Linked DNA regions of Neurospora crassa OR74A. The protein of the gene in region 1 purifies or fractionates together with the protein of each later gene. This does not show direct contact. Links are inferred from orthologs where the notes say so. Each region holds a gene or a part of one and is shown on either strand. Other genes may lie near its edges.

What was found. The genes of interacting proteins can lie anywhere in the genome.
Region 2: the proteins of NCU01601 (region 1) and prd-6 purify together in Saccharomyces cerevisiae (affinity purification with mass spectrometry; 3 studies listed by BioGRID, with this or other methods). This does not show direct contact. The link is inferred for Neurospora crassa OR74A from reciprocal best matches to the Saccharomyces cerevisiae genes LSM1 and NAM7.

Annotation. Positions count from the first base shown.
Region 1 is NC_026502.1:2,977,968-2,987,447, forward strand, and holds NCU01601 (hypothetical protein), read right to left. Parts: upstream 4,851-9,480; 5' UTR 4,587-4,850; coding exon 4,409-4,586; intron 4,335-4,408; coding exon 4,266-4,334; intron 4,141-4,265; coding exon 3,821-4,140; 3' UTR 3,517-3,820; downstream 1-3,516. Other genes in the region: mob-1 (protein kinase regulator), read right to left, coding at 534-699, 929-1,022, 1,089-1,255, 1,484-1,506; NCU01599 (hypothetical protein), read left to right, coding at 5,720-6,142, 6,214-7,503; NCU01598 (methyltransferase), read right to left, coding at 8,264-9,349. UniProt on the Saccharomyces cerevisiae protein: Component of the cytoplasmic LSM1-LSM7 complex which is involved in mRNA degradation by activating the decapping step.
Region 2 is NC_026505.1:5,326,990-5,337,418, forward strand, and holds prd-6 (ATP-dependent helicase NAM7), read right to left. Parts: upstream 5,832-10,429; 5' UTR 5,312-5,831; intron 5,106-5,311; 5' UTR 5,077-5,105; coding exon 1,795-5,076; 3' UTR 548-1,794; downstream 1-547. Other genes in the region: NCU04243 (U3 small nucleolar ribonucleoprotein IMP4), read left to right, coding at 6,253-6,258, 6,327-6,785, 6,849-7,271; syn-2 (syntaxin 2), read left to right, coding at 9,911-10,039, 10,154-10,429. UniProt on the Saccharomyces cerevisiae protein: RNA-dependent helicase required for nonsense-mediated decay (NMD) of aberrant mRNAs containing premature stop codons and modulates the expression level of normal mRNAs. Also capable of unwinding double-stranded DNA and translocating on single-stranded DNA.

The sequences.
Region 1 (9,480 bases):
AAGACTCTTTAGCCCGCCAACTGCCCAGAGCTTCTTCTCCGGAACTGCCCGTTCGTGCCAAGTGCAGTGGGGCAGGCAAGCAACATCCCGATAACGTTATCGGTGCCCTGCCATCCCGTCCGAGCATCGGCACTGCATGCATCCTCGACATTGACATGAAGTTCCGTGAGAAGTGAAAGCTGCGGCAGCATTCGTGATGTCAAAAAGCGTCTATTTCCACGAGAAGCTCCAGGCCTCTCTGTCCCTCTCTACAACGAAACAACAAAAACCCAAAGAGATCCCGGTGCCCTTTACGCGCCATCAAAAGCATGGGATGCGCGTCCCTTCCTGAATTCCGTGGTCCCTTAATCCCTTCTATCAGCGCCCGTTGCCAGCCCACCATACCAAACGAAAACGAATGCCTGTAATGGAACCAACCCGCACCCAACCTAACGCCTACGTGCTTAGCCCTGTCAAATAACCATGCGCCAATGCCAAAGCCATACAAGATTCTGTCGTCTAGTCGCTGCGTAACATGCTGTCGACCAAGTCGCCTAGCGGTCCCCAAAAATCCTTGCCGGTTGCCAGGTTGTGCTCATCGATAAATAGCACATATTGCTTGAAGCTGGTGTTGAGATGCGGCTCCAGGCCCAGTTCCCGAATGACGGGGTAGTGGTGGCAGTAAATGTGAGCGTAAACGCGGTACATGCGCTTGAAGATCTGGCGGACCAGCGCCGGGAAGGACTTGGGGAACGGAACTCCAATCCTGCTTGGTAGGACGGCCTCGTTGTCGATGTTGCCCTGGACCCAGCTCATGAGCTGTTCAATGTAAGCGGGCGCAGGCATCTTGGTCGGTCGCTTGTAGTTCTCCGTGTCCTGCCACAAGTACTCGAACCTAAACTCTGTCAGTGTGTTGGTCGCGGTGTATGATGTTGTGATGGAAACGTACTCGTCGGTCGCCTTCATTTCGGGGCAAGTCTGGGGAGAGCAGAACTCGGTAATGGCGCCATAAAGGAGGTTGATTTGATTGTAGAAGTCCACCACTAGCATAGCGGGTCAGCGGATGGCCCTGGAGCAAAACAAGCTGGGTCGGCGGGGTTGATGCTCACTGTTGACAGCCAACCACTCATTCTCGTCTTCACCCTCAGGCAGCTTCACCACTTTGCGCAAACTTCCTCCGCCAAGTGTTGCTTCGGCATATTGTCGCAGCTGGTAGCTGGTCGCACCGCCCTTGCCGCTCGCCCGAGGTCGGAACTGGTTGCGCGTCCGCTGATTTCTAGCGGCAAATCATGTTAACAGCTATCCCACACAAGATAGAATTCATGGCTTTACTGAGGAGGTCGAAAGACCTTCCAGTTATGCGGTGTGTTGCACCTCCTGGAAAGGAGATGGATGCGACGGCGAGCGAGCTTGTCCTCGCTTCGTTGCCAAATTACGTCATCGCATCGCCAACTATTCGCGATGGGCCTGTCAAGGGCGGGAAAAGGGGGAGGGCTCAACGTACACGGTCGTAAGAAAGGAGCTCATGGCGACAACCAAGAAATGTTGGATATGTTCAGAAGGATGTTTGGTGAGCTGCGACAAGTGGTTGCACAAGTTAGCGGCGGGCGCAGCTGGTATGTCATTTGTTGGCGGGTGACATTGGGCTGGGCAACAGGAATGGTCCTTGTCGCATGACCGTGGGAGGGCGGACACGTACCGATACAAGCAAATGCGCCAGATACCGGATGCCGGAAGATCAAGACCAGATGTCGCTAACTTGAAATTTTAGCCGGCCGAGTGTTGGTATAAGGGTAGAAGCAGAGGTAGTGTGTTTGTTGAGGACATTTAAAGGGAGAGGAAGAAACGGGGCATGTTTTAATTGTTTACCTTGACGGATGGATGCGCCAGACCTCCAGACAACGACAGCCAGGTTCGTGCTGGCCGCAGCGAATCATGAGCGGGCTCTTTGATGGCACAGCGGCTGGGCAGGGGCAGCCGGGAAGCTCTTAGCGCCTGCCATGTCCCCGCATAAGGTTCGTCGGTAGTGGGGTCATTCCCATTCGCGGCTCCATTCACTGCTTTATAAGGTGACATTTCACTTTTATTGACAAAAGCGAGCGAGGTATCAAAGCTTCTTTCCATAGCAACATCCTTACACGTGCGAAAGACATACACCAAGAATAAAAAAAAATGGGCAGATACTGACCCTAACCACAGTCGCGGCGAACTGTTACCATCGATCATCGCAAGGACCGTTGCATGCCTTGAGCTTCGGAAAACTGCCATACCTGTTTGAGTTCAGTTGCCGGCGGTTTTTGACAATGGGACCGGCTGAAAGGATCCGTTTGGATATGGATTCTCTCCATAAACACATCTCCACACAGCCTCCATCCGGTGGAGCATGGGACGTTTCGAATCGCGGGTGGACGGCACTCCCGGTCTCGCTAGAGCAGCCACGCACATGGCAAACAACTCCTCTTACCCATGGGGCTGTTCATCTCCGAGGCTTCCTTTGTGCGGGACTATCCGTACAGCTGTCGTTGGGTGGTCCATCGTTCATGTTTGAAAACACATGTTGCACCGGGATGGTGGAAGATTCATCTCGAGGTTCTCCCACCGAGCTTCTTCGTTCACAACGACGCCAATGCACCCCGCAATCAACGACCTTGGGGACAACGGCGACCGGAGACAATGAGAAATAGCTAAATGTCTTTTATGTGTCCAACTTTACCTTCTCCCGGACAGCTATTCCCCTCACTTTCCCCCAGACAATCGGGTGGACAGGCCAATAATGGCTTCACCATGTCGACGATCCATGATTTGCCCTAGGGTGGTGCCCGATTAGATGAGGATGAGGAGAAGGGCCCGCCAAGATTAAGTAACTTGCCCCAAGCAAGTTGAAACTGCGCCGATAAGTATATCATAAAGGTTTGCCTAGGACAATGACCGTGAGATAGCCCAAGTGAGCTTGCACCCGGAATTGTGGCATCTTACCCTCCTTCTTCTTTCTTGCGTTTGCAGACCTTCAAGCCCTACGCCACGCCCTCGACATGGGGCTGGTACAACTTCAGTTTACCCACCACGCCCAACCATACATTCATGGACGACTTCACAGATTTATAGTGGTGGACTTACGAAAGACCTAGTGATGGCCTACAGCCAGCCCAACCCAGCCCACAACGACATCTCCCAGCGGCTTATACAGAACCCTCAGTGGATCAACGTGAGGTACATTGGATTTCCCTATTCCGACCGAAACAAGTTCAACCCCCCCTTTGTTGGCATGTGGAACGCAACCCCCGCAGCAGGTGGTTGAGTACTTGCTGCATATCATCTTTCAGTTTGATGATGCTGGGTAATCGGTTGGTTGGTCATGAGTGCCAACGCCTCATTTCCCGAGCTCGGCGTAGTTATCGATGATGGCGGGTGGGTGGGAGGATGTTGAAGTCGATGGGTTTGTGCCGGCTATGTGACTAGTCCTAGGAAAGAATGTTAGTCGTGGATATCTCTCTGGGCTATCCTTTCCCAACATGATCATAGTCAGTAGTGGCCAGGTTCGATTCGAGGCAATCCATCGAATTGCTAATTTTCTAACGGTAAAATACACTTGGTGTCTTCTTGGGCCGACCTTGGTGTAAGGCTTCATGCGGTCTTCCATTCGTATGAAGTCGCAGCTGAGTGGATAGCATTTCACAATATTCTGCTTCCAATCGCTCATGCCATTCCCTCCTTCGACACTCCCTTTCCACTTCAGGGGTATGTAGGTATAAATCATAACAAGTTAAAGTTTTGGTCGTCTCTCCTCCCGTCTCTTTCTTTCCGTCCCATTTGTAAAATTTGAGGGTGATTCATATATCATTCACAGAAGCGCCTCGCCTACGTTCTCCCCTTCGAAGCCAATGGTGGAAAGCTTCTTGATCTTGCGCTTCTCCTTGGCCTTCTCCTCGGCCTTTTTCTGCTTGGCTAGTGTCTGCACCAGTTCGAGGTCGGCAGGGTCGTAGCCCGGGGGCGGGTCGTCGTCGCGGTCAAGGTCGATCTCGCCCATGAGGAGAACGTTCTCGCCGCGAACAACGAAGAGGCCCCGGTCGACGTCGGCGTAGAGCCCCCTGGTCTGGGTGGGTGACTGCGTGCCTGGAGGCACGAATATCCTCTCCTTTGTCTGTTGTAGTACTAGGTTGGCTAGTATGGTGGGAAAAAAGTGGATTCGCGTTAACACAGCTACCTCTTCATACTCGTGCTCGTTCGTGCGTGCGTGTATAGGTGGTCATGTGTTGTAAGAGAGAGGTAGGTTCATGGAGGCATACCAAACTGATCCCAACTGCGGAGGATGCCCGTGAGCTTTCGTCCGTCGCGCAATGCTACCATTAGCTTCTCTGTTGGTACCCCGCCGCTCGTGTCAGCCTAGTTCCTCCCGTCCAAAAGATATGTCCACAATATTGCTTCTTACTATCGGTCAGGTCGAGGAGTTGGGCAGCTGTGGTGAACATTTGCGCGGGCAACTGCTGGGGCTGGGGAGGACGGCCGCCTCCTAGGAGTCCCGGCGGGGGCATGCCGGGTCCAGGCTGGCCGGGGCCCTGAGGGAAGGGCGGCGGTGGGGGTTGATCGTTTATCGAGAGGTGTTCCATGGTTGTGTGCTGAAGATGGCCTATGTCTTCTAGTCCATCTGTAAAGTTTCGGGGGGTGTCTTCAAGGTTGTTGAATGGGAAGCGGGATGCAATGATGCGATGGGACAGCTGCCCGCCCTGACGTTGCCTGCCCGCACATACTACTACCTACCTACTGCGTACATACCTACCTTAGTACATAGCTGCTGCCCTGGGCTGCCCTGGGCTTGCTCCGCTGTTTGTGCAGTTCACCCCACTTTCACGGTGAGAGGCAGCGACGAGAAGTGTGTTCCTTGAAGGACAGCCCGAGTCGCACAGATCTTTTTACCACTCTACTTACACGGCTCCTGCCATAAGCTTTTAGTGGATGATTCCAGCTTCCTTCCGGCAGGCAATTTGCGTATATGTACATGATACAAGTCAGCCACATCGCAGGTTGAGCCACAAGACGGAGCGAATCTCAGCTTTATCCACTTCAGCAATCAGCTCGGCTCATACAAACCTATCGCTGCTTCCTGCGGCAGACTGCTCTCGCTTAGGTACAGCGCCTGTGCGGTGGAGCTTCCATGATCACCGGACTGTATGTCTAGTCAGTAAACACTGCCAGGGCAAGGTGAAACCAAGCGCTGTGCAGCAACCTACAGTATTATTCAACCCGGTGGCCGGACAATGAGCCGACGGGACCTGCACTGACCTCCCTGTGCTGGTTTGCCTGTACCTACCTAGGTAGTGCCGCACTGCATTCTCCGGTCCTTCTGCTTCGGCTCAACCTGCTGTCAACCCCATTTCATTCTGCCACTCCATATTTCTCCATCTGCACCATACGTACCCTCGCTGTCGACAATTATACACAAAAGATCCCATGAGGACTATGTCCAAACCCGCTTCGACCACCAGAAGCCGTTCCTTTTCTCTCGCCCTTGCGCTGTAACCATTCTGCGCGCCCGTCCATCGGCGGACGAGGGCAGCTCTCTTCCCGTCGTCCAGTCGACTTTGACTTACTCGTCCTCTAGCCTCAAATCTCTGCACTGGGGCTCTCTTTTTTCCGCCCACCAGCCTCGCCTTGAGGTTTGCCTCGCCTGGTCTTACCTGGTCCGGATACAATAAAAAAGCAGGCAACCAAGAAACATATTTACGAGGACCCCCCTTTCGCCATGGCTTCTACCGACGTTACCATGGCCGACGCACCTTCCGGGCGGCCTGATCGCCGCTCCAACGCTTCTCCTCCTCCCGGTCAGTCACAGTCACAGTCTAAGAGAGACAAGCGACGCCAAATGCTTGCCGAACGCATTGCAACCCTTTCCGACAAATGGAGCAAGGACAGAGACCAGGCCTTTCGCGAACAACTACAAAAGATTCAGATTGACACCAGTCTGGTCATGCGAGTCGACCCCTATGTCGATCGACCTTTGGACAGCTTCGAAGAGGATCAGAGACGACTCAACCAGCTCAATGGCGCCGACTCCGACGGTGGTCCACGATCCCTCCTTGACATGGCTGGCCCCAAATTTGCCAAGTGGATGGAGAACGTACAGGATCTTGCAGAGCAACGCGATTATGCTCTCACCAAATTTAAAGTACGTCTCCCGATCATAACCGTTCAACGCTCCGCCAGTCAAAGTGCCAATGCTGACTCTTGGTTCCGCAGTTTGACTACGAGAAGAAGATCGCCGAATACCTCAATACGCATGCCTATAAGACGGAGCTTGCGAACAGAGAACACAAGGCGCTTGCCTCGACCCTCCGCGACCGACTGATCAACATCATCACTTCGAAAAAATACCGGCTCAACAAGGAGAAGGAGGCCCTCGAGATTGCCGATGCGTCCGCACTCCTCTTACACCCCAACCAATTCAGCATCACAAACCCAGCCAGCCCCGGAGGCACACACGGCAAGCGGGCCACCCGCCTGCGGAGAGAAATGGAGGAGATGAACGGCATGGACAGCAAGAAAAGAAAGCGCAACATGAATGATGACGACGGTTCTCCAGCGCCACAGCGCCGTGCACTCGACCCCAACAGCACTACACCCCTATGGCAGACCGACCGTCTGGTCCAACGCAAGACCACCGGCCCCATCTACAGCATTGACAAGCTGTTCACGGACAAGGAATTGTCAATGACCTACAACCAGTCGGCCTTGGCTGCGCACAAATACATTCTTACCCATAAGCCACGGTTTGACGACTATGGGCGCCCTATCTCGTCACCCGAGGGTAGTGTTTCCGGTAGCGGCGACCCTGATGATCTCGACTCGGAGTCGGCTCCGTCGGCGCCGATGATGGAGAGGAACGTTTCGCACGCTACTCGCAGCAACAAAAGTGGGGCTAACAATCCCAACTTTGACGACAAACTCATGGGCTTGGAGATGCTCGCTAACTTCGACTTCCCCGGTAACCTTGAGCGTTTGACTAGCAGTCAGGACCCTAAGCAGCCTCCTGCCTTCCCGTCACAATACGTCAAGGGCCATGCAAAGCAGTCTGAGTTTAACACACCGGCAGCACTGGCTAATGACGACGTGACCGGGGACTTGATGGTTATGCATGCCCTGAAGCAGTACGACCAGCTTAACGGCATGGGCGCCAATCTACAGACTGAGCATGGAAGCATGAAGCTTCTCCAATCGGTGTCGCTCCCGGTCAAGGACCGCAGATTTGTGTCATTTGTCCAGGGCGAGCGGCCGTCGGAGAACGAACTCAGGCAGCGCCTTGGTCTTCCCCCGATCAAGGAGCCTGTCGAGCCCGAAAGATCTGAGCCAATCAATGGTCTCGGTATCGGCACCCCGTCAAAGGGCGGCCGCTCGGGTACTCCGTCTCATCACCAGTCTCCTGCTAAGGCGCTTGGGGGTGTCTCTATGAGCAGACAGTCTAGCGCCAACGGCGGCGTGGCGATGAGCCGGACCAGCAGCAGAAAGGGACGCGGCGGCCGCGGTGGCTGAACAGGACGGCGGCCTAGACATGATTAAGAAACGGATTTTGACGACGAGAGCTTCGGGCATTGGTCGGTGGTAAACGGTTTGCAACGACGAAAGAGAGTGCCCAGCGCCGCCTGGCACAAGGTGCTTCACATATTACACTGAATGTTTGCTCCTTTACGATGGTGCCTGTTTTGCCTCCATCGCGCACAGGAAGGGAAAGAGGGACAGAGAGGCGTTTGTTGAGATACTGGATCGAGGGTTGCGCATACATTGAAGGGGTTACGGAGTTTAAGGAAACATGGCTGGACTTTATTACAGGTGCTACTTGAGCATTGAACACTTTCATGCCTGCAGTTGTAGCATTACCATAGGTATTACGTATCATCGTATTTGGTTCGTTGATTACCGTGGTTATACCGCATACTGTTTGGCATCTCGCTCGTATTTTGGGAGTTTACTAGGCTTCGCTTTGCTTTGTGCTTATGTTATCCATTCCAAATCAATATCGACAACCACATGAGGTGTTGCCGGAAGTTCATTAGCTGATTTCGTTGAGCAAGACTCACAGTCATTGACTAACTTTTTGGTGACTATTACTAGCTCGATGAAGGCGCAAACACGATATAGAAAAATTGTTCGCGGACATAGGAGTTCAAACACCTATCAGCATCCGATCCCTCAAAACTGCCATTAAACTCTATCAAACCATTACTTATTCTCATTCACTTAGAGAATACTCCAACCCGCCTCCTGTGTCCACCATAAGAGAACATGCACTAAGTCAAGGTCCAAAAACCAGGGCCCTCACCTCAATGCTCTCCCGTCCCTCAGCATCCGCTCTCTGTCTCGGATCCTCAAAAGCCGTATGCGGCACCCTTCCCCCTTTCACCTTCCTCCCCTCCTCCAGGTCCTCTCTGCCTGCCCAACTATCAAAGCACTCCAACAGAATCCTTTCGTCGCCCGTCATGCCGCTCAAAAAGTACCACTTTTGCCCTTCATCATGCAGCACCGCGGCCGTCTGACCGGTATAGCCATTCTTATACCGATGCTCCACGGGCACTATATCTTTGTCGTCTACCGTCTGTGAACTGGCAAACGCCAGCGGGTAGCTTTCCACGGGCCCTTTGTTCAGCGGCCGCCATACGTTGACGATGCGGTACCTCCCTTGCAACAACCGCTCGGCTTCCTCCGGAGAGGGAGCGTGTCGGCGCACACGTTGCGCGACGGAGTAGGCGGTTTGGTCAATGTGTACGCGCTGCACTGGGCCACGGGGCGCAGAGGGGGAGGTGCGGCGGATGGTGTGGTCGAAGATGATGACTTTGTTGGAACCGGGGATGGTGTCCAGAAGGAGGCGGGTGACTTCGGGGTAGTAGAGTTGGGAGATGGAGGCGTCGGAGGTGAAGTTGGAGCCGTTCTTTGCAGGGTCTTCTTCGGCGGAGGGAGGGAGGCCCTGGAGAATTTGGAAGGCGTCGTTATCGAGTGTGAAGGAGGACTCGAGGCCGCGGATGTCGTGGATGGTGACGGGGAGGGTTTGGGTAGAGTAGTTACGCTCGGGAACGCCGGGGGCCGGGTCGATGTTGTTAAAGGGACTTGAGCCGTCCGAAGGGGGCTCGTAGAAGTTCAGGGGGGCGACAACGTCACCGCGGGGGACGCGGTCTTCTGAGGTGGTGATGGTCATTGTGTGATGGTATAGGATGGGAAGGTGGAACTTTGGTTGTGGATAGGGTAGTGGGAGGTGTCTTGAGCAAGTATAATACGGCTGCTTTGGTGTTGATAGTGCTGTTGTTGAATGTCTTTCAAACAACGGTGATGGGGTGGTGGATGTGAACGGATTTATATCTTCCTTCACATATACATTTTCTTCCATTCACATCACACCGGTGATAAAAACCAGAAAACCTCACTGACATTAGTAACATTGATTAGGATTTCAAAGCGCTAAGTGGATTATAGTTATTCAACAAGATGCTGTACACCAGCGCATCCCAGTGTCGAGAT
Region 2 (10,429 bases), on another chromosome or scaffold:
TATCAGTGAAGGAGAAAGAAAGAAAGTTCTTCGATTCGAAGTAAGTGGGTGGGTGGGTGCATTGACCGCCACGCCAAAGACAAGACAACAGCTGTCCTGGGGACACGCTCTTTCAAGTCCGGCTAATTGAGCCGGTTCCTTATGTTGTGACCACCCCCATATAAAAAGTTGACGAAGAAAAAATCACAATAATTCACCGAAGAGGAGGATGATGCAAGCAGCATATGTGGCTGCATGAGATGGGATGAGATGGGATGGATGATACAAAGGTCAAAGAGGAAGCAAAACAGAGATACCAATTGGCTAGTAAAGAGAGAGAGAAAGAGGGAGAGAGAAACGTAAAGCAGGTACGAAAACAAGAGTACATAAGCTTCTAGAGTAAAGAATCACTTGTAGTAATATACATAATACCACGTTCTTGGAAAGAACAAAAATCGTCAGCTCATGATAGAGGGTTTTCAGTCTTCACAATGGTTGGGCAACTCGGTCAACAACCGTCATACACAACATTCACCCATCTTCGTGTCACGGAGAAAATTACTAAAACCAGCGGGAAACGAAGTTCAAATAAGCTATCTGAATAAGTAGGTAGGTACCCATGATACGTTTCCAGATTCCCAGTGTAAGTATATGTGAATAGCTATGACCGTTCACACCTACTCCTCTTGCGTTACCCTCTCTCTATCTGATAATTTCCAACGCTGTTTCTTTCTTTTTCTCTTGCCTTTCTTTTTTTTTGATTTTCTTGTTTTTCCTTTCTTGTCCATGTTGAGACTCCTCCCATCTCTCTTTTCTGTTTGAAAACTATCTCTACCCCATCTCTGGTCATAAAATAATGAGTGACTTTGGTTAGGAAGTCCAGAGGGACGAATATCAACTAACTATCAAACGCAGTGCTCACTGGATTTGTCCAGGCTTATCAACCGACAACTTCTCTTTTAAGGAGGGTATGGGATTGAGTGAGCCTGGACGAGTGAGCCTGGACGAGTGAGTCCCAGTGAAGCACGCTTGAAAACGAAGTGAAAAAAGACTAACTCAGGCTGGCTGGTGGTACGTGAAAGCTTAAGACTGGATGGAGTGAGCGTATCGGTGTAAACCAACCACTCTCTGCGTTGATTGACTTGCAGGCTTTGCCGTTTCATTCGGTCATCATTCTACCACGAAAGAAGATATCCAACTCTCCACCTGCCCGGAAGCAACAGATCGAGTGGTGACTTCTTCCTGGGTAGATCGCATTTGACCAGGCGCTTCCGCAACCATGCAAATTCGACCGCCAGCTAACCCAACGTTTTTCCCCCAATACCAAGTGTGGGTCGACCTCATCCGGCTCCGTACATCCGAACGATGACAAAACCCTCCTTGGATACCCGTCCGTTGCTTGAGTCCGTATGCACGTCTGATTTGATGTGCAACCTTAGACGAAGGTGTGTGAAGATGCCTTGTTCCCGTATGCTTGGGGTTCAGCTTGCACGAGACTATTGCGCAGAGGGTATGTAGGCTGATCATCCACACCTTGAAGAAGCCTATGTGAAGGATTGGCTTTCAGAGAGCAGCAACAACTCCTTGCAGCTTCAGTTGGGCGAATCCAAGCTGGAGAAGGGTAAGTTGTCTTCTGCCCGCCAGCCCGAAGGCTATCGGTAGCGTGTCAACAGAATAAGTCTGTCGTGCTCACCAAGTGACACATAATAGGTCCATATGCTATACCGCCGTTTAGGTTCAAGAGAACTATAAGCATTGTGTCGTGCGCTTCCACGAGAGGAAGAGGGAGACCAACAACGCCTAGGATCTAATGGCTCAATCGAAACCTGTCCCGATCTGACTGGCAAAAGCAGTGCTGACGCTCTTCTCGTCGTCATCGTAACGGCGGTATCCGTTGCCGACTCCCATACGACCATTGCTTTCGACATACTGCTTAAGGCGATCGCTCTGGCTGTAAGAAGTAGGGCGGGCTGATCCGATGGCCTCGCTAAGGCCAGCACCGAGACTCGCGCCGCCCTGTCCGATACCCTTGCCGCCGATGACACTGGAAGTGGCATCAGTGAACTCGCTGTTGGCGACGCTCTCGCCTGCGATGCTCTCTGTCGCACGACCACGGCCCTTGGCGCCTGGGCGTCCGTTGGGACCAGCACACGGCAAACCAGCCCACGCCTCAGGGTGGAAGTTCGAGAACATGGCAGGGTAACCAGAGCTCAAAGCAGCACCTCCCAGGGCGGAGCTGTGGATGGAGGAGACATCATCCGGGATGTACGAGACCATAGAACCAGTCTCATAATCCCTGACGGAGCCGGCAGTCAAGGGAGCAGCGAACCGGCCATTAGAGGGACCGCTGGCAACATGTTGAGTGTGGCTGCGTTGCGGCCGGTAGGCCTGGCGAGGTCTGCCAAACTGCAAGAGGGAAGGCTGGAGGTTTGTGAGGGGACCTTCGACGAGACACTTCTTGTCTTTGAAGTGGACGAGAAGGTGGTGCCAGAGCTCATGCTTGCAGAGAACCTTGGGGTTACCAATAATCACCAGACCGTACTTGGCACGGGTGAGGGCGACATTGAGACGACGGGGATCCGAAAGGAAACCGATGCCTTGGTTCTCGTTGGAGCGAACGCAGGACAGCACAATGAAATCCTTCTCTCGACCCTGGAAGGCATCAACGGAAGCGACTTCAACTTCCCTGTAGGATTCCTTCTTGAACGTGCCAGTGTTCTGCATGGTATTGACAATGTAGCTGCGCTGACCCTCGTACGGCGTAATGACACCGATGTCAGCAGGCTTGACACCAGCCTTGAAGAAGCGTGTGACAATCTTCTCGACATTGGCAGCCTCAGTCCGGTTGAGGTACGATGTGCCCGAGGCCGATATTTCCTCGTTGCCCAAGTTGGACCAGAACATCATGGGAGTCTCAGGGACCGGCCAGGGAAAATCAACATCCTTGCGAAGTCTCTCGGCGGCAGTGACGCCGTTTTGCAACGATCCTTCGTAAAACATATTGGAGGGGAACTCAGAGAGGCAAGGATGCATACGATACTGGACCTTCAAGCGAATGGGGGTAAACTGAAGCTTGACCAACCTCTCGAAGAGCGACTGGTTAAGGCCAGCCTTGGCGGCCTTCTTGTTCATAATGACAGGGCCAAGCTGCTTGTGGTCACCAACCAGGACAACCTGCTTACATCCAAGGACCAGTGGAATCATGCACTCGGGTTCGGCAGACTGTGTAGACTCGTCGATGAGCACATTGCGGAACTTCATCTTGGAAAGTCGCGGATCTCCGGCACCAACACAGGTGCAGCACACTACATCAGCGTTTTGCAGGATCTCACGCTCGGCCTGGCGCGTCAGCTGCTTGAACCTCTTTTCATCCTGAGAAGACAGCTCGCCGGTCTCGGTCTTGAGCTTGACGAGACCATCAAGTTCCTTGTTGGTAGTATTCATGCGAACTTGCTCGTGGAGAGCCAGGAAACTGACGGAGGACTCGACATCCTCACGGGACTTGGCGGTCAAGCGAACGACCTTCAGGCCGGTTCTGTGGATCCTCTCACAGAGCTGGTCCACAGCAACGTTGGATGGGGCGCAAACAAGAACTTGGCTGTTGCTCATCTTGGCAAGATGGTAGATGATGGTGGCCGAAGTGACGGTCTTGCCAGTTCCCGGAGGACCCTGGATAAGGCTCAGAGGGTTGGACAAGACCTGCTTGATGGCGGCAATTTGGCTGGCATTGAGCTCAGGGAGACCGGGAACGTGGAACTTCTTGGGCATCGTAATCTTTGTCGGGGCAACCTGGACTTCGTGTCCCAGCAGCTTGTGGAAGATGTAACCAGAAACACTCATCTCGTCGACGGCAAAGGTCTTCATGGCCAGCTGCATGCGGTCATAGGAAGTCGCTTTCCACACATAGTCGGCCGAGAAATTGTGTGTGCATTCCGTGGGGACAGACTTGTCATTGGCTGACTTGCGAAGTTCCACCTCAACCTCGTCGGACTGGTTGTTGGGAATCTTGATAACATATCCAACACCCTCCCAAGGCGGGCGCAGCTCTCCCTTGTACTTGAGACGCATCTCATCGCCAACGGCCAGCTTAACGTCACCGGACTCGATCTTGGGAAGGATGAAGCTGGCGACGTGTTTACTATTGAGACCCAGATGCCAGCGGACTTGAAGGCCATCCTCAGACTGGGCCTCCTTCAGCTTTTTGTCGTAGTCGGATTCCATCTTGACGAGAGGGCCGAAGATGTTCTGATAATGATAAGGGTCGTCGTACTTGAGCAAGACCGGGTGAGGATCATCATCGACTCCGGCAGTCTTTTCGAGGTCGGCAACAGTCGCGTTCGGTGCCTCCTTCCACATTTCCTCGAGCTTGGCAATCATGGGCGGCGTGAGATGGCGAGCACGAAGCTGCTCAGCATCCGTGGGAGGGGTGACGAGCCAGTTGAGGAAAGCCCTGTCTTCGATCAAGGGTTGCCACCTGGATATATCCCAGCTCATATCCTTGGTCGACGTACTAGCACCACACGGCTGGCGGCAGAGGAGGACCACAACCGTGTCTGACTTGGCAGGGATGAAACCGAGGATGAAGACATTCTTGGTGCCGCAGTTGTAACATTCGAGGACGGTATCGCCGAGGGAGGACTCGGGGTGAAGTTGAACTTCCTTGTGACGGGCGCGAACAAGGTGGTTGACGATATGGGACGAGAAGGCGCTTCCTTTGGCGCTGCAGAACCACTTGTTACAGGTAAGGCACTTGACGACGCTAGAGGGCGAGTGGATGCCACAGTAGGCACAGGCGTGGGGAGGCAGTTCCTTCTCCTCCACGGGGGCATCCAGCTTGAGGCTCTTCATGCCGTCGACTGGAACGCTGGCCAAACTCTCGTCATCATCGTCATCAAGGACCTCGGTCTCGTTGTCGTCGTCATCGTGGCGGCGTCTACCATTGCCGCGGGGACCACGTCCACCGTAGACACCGTAGAGGAGGTTCTCATCGGGATCGATATTGGACAGTTCGTCGGAGCCACCGGCCTTGATGGCAGCAGCAGAGTCGGAAACCAAGTGGTTTCCAAGGTGTGTGAAGGACACCTCCATGTTGGCCATGATGGCGAGTGGGTTGACGGAGGTAAACTCTGGAGCACCAGCAGCTGGTCAGTAAGTGTCTGGGAGGGAAATTCGCAACAGTAACGTAGGGTCAGGCAGGTATCGTTGGGGAACGAGATAAGTAAGGTACTGTTGGTATACGCCGCGGTCCAGCCTGTAGCTGTTGAGCGGGCTGTTGGGGAGGGATGTGTATTTCAGTGTTTACATGAACATGACACGCAAACAAGCGGCGTACCTTGAAGAGTTCACACCCGGAAGTTTTGTCGAAAGGTAAAAGGTGTGGCTGTCGTATTGCGGGTTGTCGCAATGCGGGACTATGGAAAGATGTAGATTATGGGCTTGGACGTCGTCTAAAAGGTCACATCATCGCATAACGGATTGGATCGGCGAGCGGGCTGTGTTGCGCGCGGGGGCTTTCGAAACGACGACACTGCCAGAACGTCGAGGTGCTGATGCAGAGTGAGACCACTGATCGGCTCGCTTAAGGTTGTTCTTGGTGTTGTGAAGCAAATGGTTTGGTTGCCGCCGTTCAAGGTCACGGTTGTTGTTTGCTTGGGGGAATTTTGCCGGTGGCCGACTTCCGTTCAGTTTGTGTTGGCGGACGGGTCACGGTTGCGGTTCAGGTTGGAGGTTCGTCGTTCCCTTGTTTGATATCCGACGGCCTTCTATCAGCAGCCTCCAGTTCTGGGCTCAGCTGTTTGAGAAGCACGGGCAGTCATAGCGCCTGAAACTGCCCTGTATTCTAGAAAGCGGGCAGCAAGTAGGTAGGTAGGTACTGGGAAACCGGCACAAGCTGCAGCGAAGGGAGCCAGGGTACCTAAGGTGGCGTTGAACCGGGCGACCCAGGCGCGATCTCTTTCCCGGCAGGCGCAAATCGACGGGACCTAAGCCAATAGGTATCCGCCAAGCTGAAAAGATCCGTGCACCTCGCGCTTAGTCCCATTCGATTGTAACTTTTTTCGACTTTTTTCTCTGTGAACACCCCTGTCGTCACCAACCACTCCGCCCTCCACTAGTATCGACCCGGAACATCTGAATTTCTGCCAGTCTTCGCAGCCTTAATTCTTATCGACAACCTCATTACTACCACTTTCGACAACACGACTCTGAGAGCTCGGCGCGATCCCTTCCACCGAATCACTTATTACCGTCTGATAAGCGTGTCAACACAACAAGATGATTGTAAGTGTCCCTGTCTACTCGTCATCTTCTCCAAGTTTCTCAATGTCCATGACTAACATCTGCAATAGAGAAAGCAAGCTCGCCAAAGGCGGGACTACCTTTACCGAAGAGCCCTCCTGCTCAAGGAGGCCGAGGTTGCAGAGAAGCGCGCCAAGCTGAGGTCTGCCCTGGCCTCGGGCAAGCCACTCGACCCCGAGATTGCGAAGGACAAGGAATTGCGAAAGGACTTCGACTACGATGTTTCGAGGGATGTGAACGGAGACGCCATCGATATCGACGACGAATACTCGGAGTTGTCGGGTGTCATTGACCCCAGAATCTTGGTTACGACAAGTCGCGATCCCTCCAGCAGACTCGGCCAGTTCAGCAAGGAAATCCGTCTCCTACTACCCACCAGTGTTCGGCTGAACCGTGGTAACCTCGTTTTGGAAGACCTTGTTGGCGCCGCCAAGGCGCAAAACTTGACGGATGTTGTTTTGCTACACGAGCACCGTGGTGTCCCTACCGCCATGACCATTTCCCATTTCGTACGTTGTCCCTCCAGGCATGTTGTTGTACTTGCAAAACGCATTTTCTAATCCTTGCTATAGCCCCATGGCCCGACGCTCATGGTCTCCCTCCACAACGTCGTTCTCCGCGCCGATATTCCCAAGTCGATAAAGGGCACAGTCAGCGAAAGCTACCCCAGGCTAATTTTCGAGGGCTTCAGCACCAAACTCGGTGAGCGAGTGGTCAAGATCCTCAAGCACCTCTTCCCTCCCCGCGAGCCGACACAGAAACCCAACGTCGGCAACAGAGTCATAACATTTGTCAACAACGACGATACGATTGAGGTCAGGCACCACGTCTATGTCCGCACCTCGTACGACTCGGTCGAGCTCAGTGAGGTTGGACCCCGGTTTACGATGAAGCCCTTCAAGATCACCATGGGCACCCTCGACAACAAGGATGCGGATACCGAATGGCACCTCAGCCAGTACACCAGGACCAGCAGGAAAAAGAACTACTTTTAAGCGGTGATTGGAACAAAAGGGCCGCTATAGTCGTGTTATTATCGGTTGGATTGGGTGGGATGTCACAGCAAGTGAGCATGGCTTCCGAGACAAGTTGCTGCTGGGCCACGAACGTCAAGCACTGGACCTGATGATTGCGCCGGACAAACCTGAAAAAAGGATAGCCAGGGGAAACGCAAAGACACGATCTGGTGGCGGAAAGCCCTTTTCACCAATTTGTCTGCTGCTCAGTAGCAGGAGGCAATGGGAAGACCGCTCAGATGCCTAGCCGAATTCTCGCTTATATTCTCCTCTACCGCCCGAGGTAGTACGTGGCTGGCCAAGATAGCGAGTACTGTGTTCCAGCTTCGGCACTCTAGTGGAACCAGAGATGATCGCATCAACGTCTGACTGGTGATGGGCGTGGTTGCTGGGTCGGCTGCTTGCCGAGTGGCTGTGAGGATCGGAAGGTTCCCGCGGTGAAACGAGCATGTCATGTCTATCAACGACATGTCACACTGGAGGTAACGCACGCAACGATGGGGCTGGAGGATGGGACAAAAAAGGGAGCAGCAGTCTCATGAGATACCAATGTTGGGATTTGGATGTAATTTTAAGAGCATTGGGTTCACATATCAGGAAACGGACCGGAGTTGAGGGTGTAAAGGTATATCATTTCTCAGCTGAGCGCGGAATAAACAAAACATGTGGTCGAACGGGTGCTTCCATTTGGGACTGAGTGCTGGCATGTAAAGAAAGAAAGGCTGTTTGAGCGGCTCAGCAGCAAGGCGGGGACTTGGCTGAAGTGTGCAACTCAATGAGATCAGATCAGAAACATAAAGCAATTGGTCGATGAACTCGAAATATGATCTGCCAAGCTTTCTACCAGTGGGAAGGAAAAGGACCCCTTTTCTCCTTGGGGCTCCATTCCAAACAAAAGGGGGCGCGTCGACGTGGAGACGGTGTTCCGTGGGGCCGCCTGCACGCTCTTTTGAAGGTTCCACACCGGCGATTGGTTCCTCACTTCCAACTCTGGGGACAGCGCAAGTGCCAATTGCCGGTTCACAATTGACGATATCGTCACAGGGCGGCAACAGAAAGATTTGTAGCTTGTCCATTCCTCTGCCATTGGAGAATTAGGCGATCAAAGTTTGCCATCCTCCCGTCCACGTGGTGAATGCGACGATAAGTCGGGGTTCTTGACAGCGGAGATTTTACCACGTTTAACACTCCGAGTTCATGCGGCTGTTAAAGCTGTACTTTGCGGTGCCCTCTTCCTTCCCATCTTTTGACAATAACAAACAACCTCTCAGCAGTCTGAAGTCGTCAGCTCTTGAAGCTTGTGCCTTGATGCTGCATTCCGTGCAGGATGCAGCTGACCTTGGGCACAGCAACAACTGGAGACGTGGGTCGGAAACCCGCTGTGACCGAGACTCTTTTCCCATTGTGGTTTTGAGTCGGAGTCTGGCTCAGCATTCATCATCAACAGAGAGACAGGGATATGGATCATCCATGGCCACGGTTCAAGACAGCTCCGTGGAATGATGTGAAGAAGCTTGGAATATAGTGCAAACTCATCTGCAAACACCTTTCAGCCTCTCTCTCAGCCACCGCCCTGTTCAGCCCTTCTCCTCTCTGGAGCTTCGGTACATATAATTCTAGGCCTTCCCTCGATCAACGCCGTTCAGGGTTTGTGTCCTGCAATGTGAAGGACGTCTCTGATTTCATCGCATTGCTTGAGGTGTACAATAGATTGGACGAATAATATATATCTTTTATCACTGGTACCATTCATATCCGAAGCCAACTTTTCTGAACATTTTCGCTCCGACACATAGAATCAAGAACACGGAACGAACCTTGTAAGAAACAAGAGCAAGAAAAACACGAGAAGAAGGATTTTGCGGGTCATTCGCTCCGTCCGGCCTCGGTACCTTGCTAACGAAAAGTGCCCTGAAACTAATCCGTCTTGGGACGACTAAGCCGTACTGCGTTAACAGCTCACGGCCGCACCGCCAAAATCCCAAAATCCCAAAAACTTGCCCGGCGTTAGAAGATCGCCAGCCCACAGCCCGCTTCCTTGGCCCCAAACCATTGGCCATTGGTCGCCCCTGGAACACTCCGTCGCTGCTGCACCCCCAAATTTAAACGAGAAGCGCTCCGTCGCTGCAGGTCACTGCCCTCTCCGTCTTTTTGCATTCAGTTCGTTCGGTGACTGGTCAGAGCAGAAGGAAGCAGCCTGTTCAAACGTCCGACGGTCTTTTTCGCTCGAGTTAGGTCAGCGGGCGGCATCATCCATCCATCAGTTCATGTGAGGCTGGCTGGGCTCTTGTTCTTACCTTCACTTCAGTTCCTTACAACACTCCTTCCTTCCGAGGTTCCCTTGTTGTCGACCACTTTCAGTTGCGACAACAAAAACACTGCAGTCAATCGATACCACCCGGCGCCCCCGGTCTTCCATCGATCCGTACCTACCTACCTACCCAGGTTATTCCTATCTTAATCCATTAATCTATTGGCTTCTCCCCTCTTAACCTAAGTATTGTCACCATTGGAAAAACGACAACCACCGCCAACCACTCCACCGGCACATCCACGTCCGTGCAATTGAATCGAGCACAAGCGGCTTCATCTCAGAAATTATCCAAACAGTAGCAACCATGTCTTATAATCAAAATCCCTACGGTCAGCCTAGCCCTTACAACGACGGTCCTTCGGCCGAGGGCGGTTATGGCGGCAGCTATGGCGGCAACTATGGTGGAGGTTACGACAACAACGGCTACGGTCAAGTGAGCAAGCTCCCTCCATATGGTCCTTTGACGAACCTCTTCATCGCATCTCTCGACTCATTCAATCCGATGATATCGAGTCGCAATGCAATTAACTAACCTACTCCCTTGCAGCAGCCCGAATCACACGAGATGCAGACATATGGCCAGCAACAACGTCAACCCCACGGCCCTGATACCACGGCCACCGGCGCTCCTCTATCCCAGCAAGAATTCTTGAACAGTGTCCGCGATGTCGAAGGCCACATCCAACAGTTCCGCGCAAACCTCGACCAGATTCGCACTCTTCACCAACAGTCCCTCTCCGACACCAGCGGCCGCCCGCCCCCCGGCCTCGAGCAGCTGCAGGCCGTGACCGAGCAGCTCAAGTCACAGATCAAGACCGAAGTC